Sus scrofa: one gene and its partner. The main gene of each other region encodes a partner of the protein of the gene in region 2 in a complex. Links are inferred from orthologs where the notes say so. Each region holds a gene or a part of one and is shown on either strand. Other genes may lie near its edges. The genes, in order: CSF3 and CSF3R.

What was found.
Region 1: the proteins of CSF3R (region 2) and CSF3 are in contact, whole or in part, in a crystal structure (PDB 2D9Q), measured with the Homo sapiens proteins. The link is inferred for Sus scrofa from reciprocal best matches to the Homo sapiens genes CSF3R and CSF3. Residues at the interface, in NP_000751.1 of Homo sapiens: Arg164, Arg190, Lys191, Leu193, Leu194, Leu195, Tyr196, Gln197, Asp220, Met222, His261, Ile262, Asn263, Arg311, Pro313, Leu314; in NP_000750.1 of Homo sapiens: Ser42, Leu45, Lys46, Glu49, Gln50, Arg52, Lys53, Leu141, Asp142, Asp145, Thr148, Thr149, Gln152.

Annotation. Positions count from the first base shown.
Region 1 is NC_010454.4:22,332,858-22,336,930, forward strand, and holds CSF3 (granulocyte colony-stimulating factor), read right to left. Parts: upstream 2,628-4,073; 5' UTR 2,515-2,627; coding exon 2,173-2,514; intron 2,087-2,172; coding exon 1,940-2,086; intron 1,590-1,939; coding exon 1,425-1,589; 3' UTR 588-1,424; downstream 1-587. UniProt on the Homo sapiens protein: Granulocyte/macrophage colony-stimulating factors are cytokines that act in hematopoiesis by controlling the production, differentiation, and function of 2 related white cell populations of the blood, the granulocytes and the monocytes-macrophages.
Region 2 is NC_010448.4:92,555,507-92,559,309, forward strand, and holds part of CSF3R (granulocyte colony-stimulating factor receptor), read right to left. Parts: intron 3,685-3,803; coding exon 3,388-3,684; intron 2,452-3,387; coding exon 2,328-2,451; intron 2,173-2,327; coding exon 1,985-2,172; intron 964-1,984; coding exon 794-963; intron 680-793; coding exon 526-679; intron 1-525. UniProt on the Homo sapiens protein: Receptor for granulocyte colony-stimulating factor (CSF3), essential for granulocytic maturation. Plays a crucial role in the proliferation, differentiation and survival of cells along the neutrophilic lineage.

The DNA of each region.
Region 1 (4,073 bases), on a different chromosome or scaffold from region 2:
CCCGAGAAGGGCAGGAAGGTGGCAGGCTCCCTGCCAGATGGGAGGCAGAGCTGGACGAAGGGAGGGACATGCAGAGCCTAGAACTTGGGGTCTGACCCACGCTGTCACTTTGACCTCAGCTTCCTAATCCGCAAAAGGCCCCTCGCAAGTTTATCTTTGTGGGCAGCCAGGAGCGTGGATGGGAGGTGGTTTATGAGAGGTGGTCGCCTGACAAAGCCCCGTGCAGACGGCAAATCCTCCCCCGCTTCGGGCCAGCGTCCATCTGTGTCTGGACTCGGGCCCTCCTGGCCCCCGCCCCCACTCTCTCCTCTCCTGGTACCGGTGACCCGTCTGCCTTCTGTCCTCCCCACTAGGCTGTGGCTGCATGAGGGCAGGGACCACGCCTGCCTGTTCCCTGCCACGCACCCAGTGTCTGCACCCCCTCTGCACCCAGTAGGTGCGCAATGAAGACCTGCCCGTGGAATGACTGCCCAGGCGGCCTCCCCGCACCCCCTCTTCCCCCACCCCGCCCCGGCCTCGCCCGCCATCCAGCTCCTGCCCGCACCCCCTGGCCAGGCCCCAGCTGGACTCAAGAAGGAGGAAGGACATTTACTGAGACAAACACTTTATTATCGTGAAGTTTGGCTCCAGCGAGAAAGTGGGGGCAGAGGCGGAAGGTGAACAGCCGAGCGTCCCTCTCACACCCCTCGGCGGCTCTTCCCTCCCACCGTCCCAGTCCCGTCCAGCAAGGCAGAGACATGACCCATGACCGTCTGCCCGGCCCTAAAGGGAGTCCGGATCCCGACCCCGGCAGGGTGGGGCGGTGTTATGAGCCTGATGGTGTCTATAGCGCGTCCAGAAAAACAAGAGGCGGCGCTGATGCCTGGGCTCCCCACACGAGGGGTCAAAACGTTCAGAAAGAAAAAATCTTAAGAAGGAGAATGAGATTCCCCAGGGTCAAGTGTCCCAGTCCGTCCCAGCTCCAGCTGCCTCTGCCAGGAAGCCCATCGCGAAGGGGGCGAAGGGGGCGCGGGGAGGCAGCAGGGGCCAAGAGGAAGGGGTACTAGGACCCAGTCGGGGAACACTGCTGTTTAAATATTAAACAGGGCTGTCTTGTCTCCCACGTGGGAGACTTCCCAATGCTTCCAAGGCCCCAGGTGGGCACCCTTAGGGTAGGGGTTCACTCAGTGCCCACCGCGGAGCCAGGCAGGGAGCAGTCACCGGATGTAATACTTGGTATTTACCAACTACCTCCCAGTCCAGGGGACGGGAAGATGGGCATTTTTCTCCCTGCTACAGGCGGGAGAATGAAACTTGGAGGAGAAGGGAAGGACCCAGGAGACTGGGACTCCTTTCTGTCCCCCCCCCCCCGGGCTTTAAATATGAGGTTTAAATAGGCATAAATATTAAATAGAGATAAATACACTGGAAGGGGAGGGCTCTGCTCAGGGCTCGGCGAGGTAGCGCAGGACACGGTACGCCAGCTCCAGGAAGCTCTGCAGCTGGGAGACAACCAGGACCCCTCCTGCCCGGCGCTGGAAGGCCGAGGTGAAGGTCGGCACGGTGCCCTGGGTGGGAAGCGAGGCCGGGGCCATCCTCAGGTCTTCCATCTGTGGGGGAAGATGAGAGCAGCCGTCAGACCCTGCCGAGTGGGCATTACCACTGCGAGAAGGAAGGGCTGGTGGGCCGTGGAAGGTCAGGGTTAGTGGTGAAGCCAGGACCAGAACCCAGGACTGTTTCAAGGTCCTGTGAACTGATTCACACCCCCAACTAGGGGAAATGGGGGAGGGTCCTGGGATGGGCTGGTAGCTCCATACCTCCAACGCCCCCTGCCCCTCCCAGCCCTGCAAGGCTCCTGCCCCAGCCCTAAAGAACCCCGGGATCCCCGGGCTGGCAGCACGGCCTTTGAAGACCATCTGGGTCCAGGCCCCCAATGCTTGCTGCTCCCAGAGAGACTCACCTGCAGCCAGATGTTGGTGGCTAAGTCGGTGACATCCAGCTGCAGTATGTCCAGGGCGGGGGCCAGCTCTGGGGAGATGCCCGCCAGGGCCTGCAGGAGGCCCTGGTAGAGGACGAGGCCGCCATGCAGTTGGTTCAGGCAGCCAGTCTGGGGGGATGGGGAGGAGTCAGGGGGTGTTCCTTCCAGATCACCTTTCCTACCCCCTCACCTCCCTTCTCCCCTCCGGAACTCACCAGCTGCAGGGCCTGGCTGGAGCAGCTGCTCAGGGAAGCCTGGGGGAGGCCCAGAGAGTGCCCGAGCAGCACCAGCTCCTGGGGGTGGCACAGCTTGTGGGTGGCACACTGGGGGCGGGAAGGATGCCGAGTGAGGGGGGCTGACAGGGCTGGGCTGTCCTCCCTTCCGAGCGCCCCCATCTCTCTGAGGTCTTTTCCTCCTTCCACCTCCCACCAGGCTTCTTGCTCCCCTTCCTCCGTCCACTCCGCAGCCAGCCCCTCCCAGCACTGTCCCCAAGAAGTTCTCCCCCGCCCCCAGCTCTGTGCCAGTGCCCAGGGCTCCACCTCTCCTTGCCAGTCCATTACCCCCAGTCTCTCCTCTCCCAATCTGGAGGCATTCTTTCCCAAGGGTCCCTTCGCCTCCTTCTCCCCCAACCTCTCCTCTGTGCCCCCTCCTGCAGCACCTCTGTCCCCTCCCTGACCCTCCGCTGCCGGCCTCCCTCACTCACCAGCCTCTCCTGCAGCTCGGCGCCATCAGCCTGGATTTTCCTCACTTGCTCTAAGCACTTGAGCAGGAAGCTCTGGGGCAGGGAGCTGGCAGGGCTGAGAGGGGCGGCTTCGGGCACCATCCAGAGTGCAATGTGCCAGAGCAGCAGCTGCAGGGCTGGGAGCAGACAGGGGCTCAGGGAACGTGCCGTCCACTCCACCTGAGTCCCTTTCCAGGATCCTAGGGACCCCCAGTCCTCTGCCCCTCTGCCCCTCCCCACGTCCAGGGCCCCGGACACTCACCCATCAGCTTCATGGGGCTCTGGGCAGCAGGCTCAGCCGAGGGTCTGGGTGGGTCTGTAGGTTCTGGGTTCTGTCAGGGACCAGATCTGGGGGCCTTTATACATAAGCCCATGGAGGCCTGGGAGGAAATTACCTGGTGCCGCGACTAAGGCTTAGTAATAACTTCCCAAGACTTATGCAAATTTGTTGTCCAGGACAATGCAGGGCGGTTGGGGCAAAACAAAAAAAAAAAACTGTTTGCGAAAGTTTTGTGAAATTGTGGAATCTCTGATTCTTCTTTGACGTCTGGTCCCCCTCGGACTCCCTTCCTCCCCTAGCCCCACCCAGGCCTGCATTGCCCCAGGGTGTTTGAACCGCTAAACAAAAGCTGAGCCAGTGATAGAGGCCTTGGGGGCTGGAGTAAGGTCAGAACTCAGGGCAGAGGCAGGCCTCCCTCCCTCCCCGGCACATGTCCCCATGAAGCCCCCTTTGCCACTCTCTCTTGGGATTCTCAAGCCACCTGCTCCCTCAGCCCCAGCTCTGAGAAGGAAGAAGCTAGGTGCTCCCGTTTCTATCCCCCAAATTCCCAGGCACCTGCCTCCCTGAGTGCCCTTCGGAGGGGCTGGAGCCTGAGATAAGGACATGGGGGTCTTGCCTCCTGTCCCCAGCCCACACTGTGATAGGCACCATCCCAGGTTCCTGTTCTGAACTGGGTAGCTGGGAACTCCCCAATCCCCCCCATGACTCATTCCTTTAAGCCCCCGGAATCCTGGCAGAGACTGGAGGAAACCGGATGACTGTCCTGATGAAGCAAGACCCTTCGAGCCTCTTAGTTCACCTGACCTTGCCCTTCCTCCTCCTCCCCCCGCACTACCCCTCCCCCGACAATGTCCTAGTGCTTTGGGGCTTGAGGATCTGGGATATGGGGCTTCCCTGGCCAGGTTCACTGCCAGCCAGAGTATGGGTGCTGTCCTGAGCAGAGAAGGGTGAGAAAGAAGAAAGTGCCTGGCTTCAAACTGGAGAACCATGCACTGTGAGCGCTGGAAGGGACTTTGGAGTTCGTTCCAACCCTGTGAACTGGGCCAGTGAGGGCAGAGCCTTGCCCAAGGTCATGGGCAGCAGAGTCAGAGTTATAACCTGGACCTCTGCCTGGC
Region 2 (3,803 bases):
CCGCTGTGGCCTAGCAGGTTAAGAATACAGTGTTGGAGTTCCTGTTGTGGTGCAGCTGAAACGAATCCAACTAGGAACCATGAGGTTGTGGGTTCAGTCCCTGGCCTTGCTCAGTGGGTTAAGGATCTGGCGTTGCTGTGAGCTGTGGTGTAGGTCGCAGACGCGGCTTGGATCCCGCGTTGCTGTGGCTCTGGCGTAGGCTGGCAGCAACAGCTCTGATTAGACCCCTAGGCTGGGAACTTACATATGCTGTGGGTGCGGCCCTAAAAAAAAGACAAAGAATCCAGTGTTGTCTCTGAGGAGGCTTGGGGTTTGATCCCTGGCCTAGCAGAGTGGGTTAAGGATCCAGCGTGGGTCGCAGTTGTTGCTTGGATTTGATCCCTAGCCCAGGAACTTCCACATCCCGTGGGTGCAGCCAAAAAACAAACAAACAAAAAAATTGAAAAAAGAAGAGAGGGTCAGGGAGGGCCCTGGAGGCTGGGCTGGGTCCCCATGGCTGCTCCAATCCCCTCCGCACCCACTTACGCTGCTGTGCCGTGGTCAGCTCCAGGCGGGGGCTCCAGTCACTCCAGCGGCCGGGCAGGGGCCAGCGGGTACAGCGCATCTGCAGTGTGTAGGCTGTGGATGGGAGGAGCCCGCAGAGCTCATACTGGAGGGACCTGGAGGGCAGGGCACCCACCTGGTGGGGGGCGTGGCTCTGAGCCTGGATCCCTGTGCTCTTGAGGGTCACCTCAACCTCCCCTCTCCCCACGCCCCCCCCACTCCAGGCTCCTGAGCTTGCCCTCCGCCTCACCAGGTCCCAGCTGGATTCTCCACGCTGTGGCTGGTGGCGCAGCTCACACTTCTGCTCTATGTGCAGGCTTGGCTTCCATGTCTCCCAGCGCAACCTCAAGCAGCCAGGCTGCGGTGGGGCCACCTCAGGGCTGGGCTCCAGGGCCCACAGGGTGGGAGGCTCCAGTTTCACTGCAGGGAGAGGGGTTGTCAGACGCTTGCCCTGCTCCATCCAGGGCTCTGCCTCAGCTTCCGGTTGTCTCCTTGCCTGGGGTTTTATTTTCCTCCCTGGGTCTCCATTCATGGGATTTCTGTATCCTTCTGTCTCTCAGTGTCTCTTCATCTCTGTGTCACCCTGTTTCTTCAGGTCTGTCTCTGCGCATGTGTCTGTTTCCCTCCCTGTTTCATACTCTTGCCCCAGGGCCTTTGCACTGGTTGTTCCCTCCAGATACCCAGTGGCTCGCTCCCTCATTTCTTTCAAGGATCTTCTCAAATATCACTTTCTCCATGAGGCCTTCCCTTCCTGACCACTTCCTGGAATAATAGCAACTGCCCTCCCTCTCCAGCTCCCCCTGTCCCACCCCTGCTTAACTTCCTCATCACACTCACCATTACCTCACATTCTATTTTATTTTGCCCACTAGAATGTAGCATTTCGGGGGCAAGATTTTTTTTTCTTTTTGCCTTTTTCTAAGGCCACTTCCCGCAGCCTATGGAGGTTCCCAGGCTAGGGGTCCAATCGGAGCTATAGCCACCGGCCTACACCAGAGCCACAGCAACGTGGGATCCGAGACGCATCTGCGACCCACACCGCCGGATCCTTAGCCCACTGAGCAAGGCCAGGGATCGAACCTGCAACCTCATGGTTCCTAGTCAGATTCGTTAACCACTGCGCCACATCAGGAACTCCAACCGGGGGCAAGATTTGTGCTGTGTTGTTTATTGCCGTGTGCCTAGCACATCATGAGTACTGCAGGAAATTTACTGAAAGAATTAAAAAGTGTGTCTCCTTGCCGTGTTTCTTCCGTGTCCATGTCTGTGTCGCTATAACTCTGTCTTCAACTGCACTGTGTTTTTGTCTCTTCTCTTCCTCTCCCTCTAGGTCTTCCAGCATCTGTTTGACTGTCCCTGGGCCTGTTTCCCTCCCTGTACCTCTCTGGGTCTGCCCACATTGTGGGGGCCTCTCCCCTCCCCCACACCCTGCGTCACCTACCCATGTCCATGGGAACAAGGCACAGCTTTGGGGATGTGCTGGTCCCCAGCGCGTTCTTAGCCTGCACCCAGATGCTCATATTTTGGTATAGCTGCAGATGCTTGCGGGGGATGGAGCAGTGGTTTTGCCCATCCTCAGGCACGCAGTCAGGGATGGAATCCTCCTGGGTCTGGAAGTTGCCTCGGCTCCTGCCAACAGGGTGAGCTTGGGTGTCAAGCAAAGGAGGAAAGCCAGGCTCTTCCGTCTCTCCCATCGATTCCTCTGGCTTCCCACCCCCTCAGTCCAACCCATGCTCTGTCCCAGGACCCAAAGGACCGGGGCTGGAGTAGAGACCCTTACTTACTTGAAGCTCTTCAGGGTGAAGTGGGTGGAGAGGTGGGTGTCGGGGCCTGGCTCCCACTGGCACTTGAGGCTGTTGGTTGTGAGGTTCAGGAGGCAGGACAGGTTGTAGGGTGGGGGGGGAGGGTCTGTGTGGAGGGTGAGGAGAGAGAGGGCTTCAGGAAAGACCATTCAGGAAGCGCCCACTGGGACCAGTTGGCCTCGTTTCCTTGCTCTGGGTCATTCTCTCTGGGATCACTCCACGCAGGGTGACCCCAGAGGGCCAGCCCTGGGGGAAACTAAGTTCCAGGCATGTACAGGGACAAGGACCATGGGGCTACCAACCCTCTTAACTCCGCTCCTTTTGACAGTAAGAGTGTGGCATCTGGGTTCTCATCCTGGTTCTGCCATTCATTAGCTGTATGATCTTGAAGTCCCTTAACTGCTCTGTGCCTCAGTTTCCTCATCTATAAAATAGAGGTTATGCTAATATACCTACCGCTTAGGGTTGTTGTGAGGGTTGAAGGACTTACTATGTATGCAGTGCTCAGAGCAGTGCCTGGCTTGCAGCGAGTGCTCTGTAAGTGTTAGCACTTACTGTTATTGATTCTTAACTAAGAATCTTGGTCTTTCTTTGTCTTTAAAGAAAGGATTTGGCTTGGCACAAATCCATCCTTCTCAGTTTGAGAAGAAGGCTGCATCTGTGGTAGTGGGGAAGCTGAGAGCAAGCCCAGCTCATAGAGAAAGGCCTCCCTAGATACACTGTCCTGCAGTTGGAGAGTTGGGCTTACTCGGCAGCCATGTAAAGCAGCAGTTACTCTACTGGCTTTTGAGCCACAATGCGTGCGTGATATAAATCTTGGCCCCATCCTTATTGGTTTGTGACCTTTAGCATGTCACACCCCCTTGCTGAGCCTCAGTTTTCTCATCTGTGAAATGGGGCTCAATAACACTCCCCACTGGTAGGCACGTGATATCTTGCCTGTAAAGTGTGTATTGAGCCAGAGCGCACGTAAGAATAGTTCTTATTAGTATTGGCAGGAAGGCATTGGAGGCAGAGTGGGTGGATGGCTGCAGGGACTTACAGCCTGCCTGCAGCTCTGCCTGGTCCAGGATCTGCAGACCGTTGCCCCAGTGCAGGCAGCAGGAGAGAAGGGCCCGAGAGTAGTTGAAATGGGGGAAGGTGATGGTGGACTGCAGGGTCCCATTCGGCAGGTGCTGCTGCCTCCCCCCAGGCTGAAGCTCTGTGTCCAGTTTCCATCGAATCTGTGACTCTGGGCCAAGACTGGTGCAGTTCTGGTTGATGATGCAGGACACTGTGATGGGATCCCCTAGGCGGATGATGGGGGCTGGGAGGCTGATGTACCCGCACTCCTCCAGGCCTGGGGGAGAAGAGAATCGGCCATAAGTGACGCCTCTGCCTGCTAGAGCTGGGCTCCTAGACCCAGTCCTCTTAGACTCAGTGCCTTTGCCGTCCTGCTTTACCCCCCAGGATGTGGGA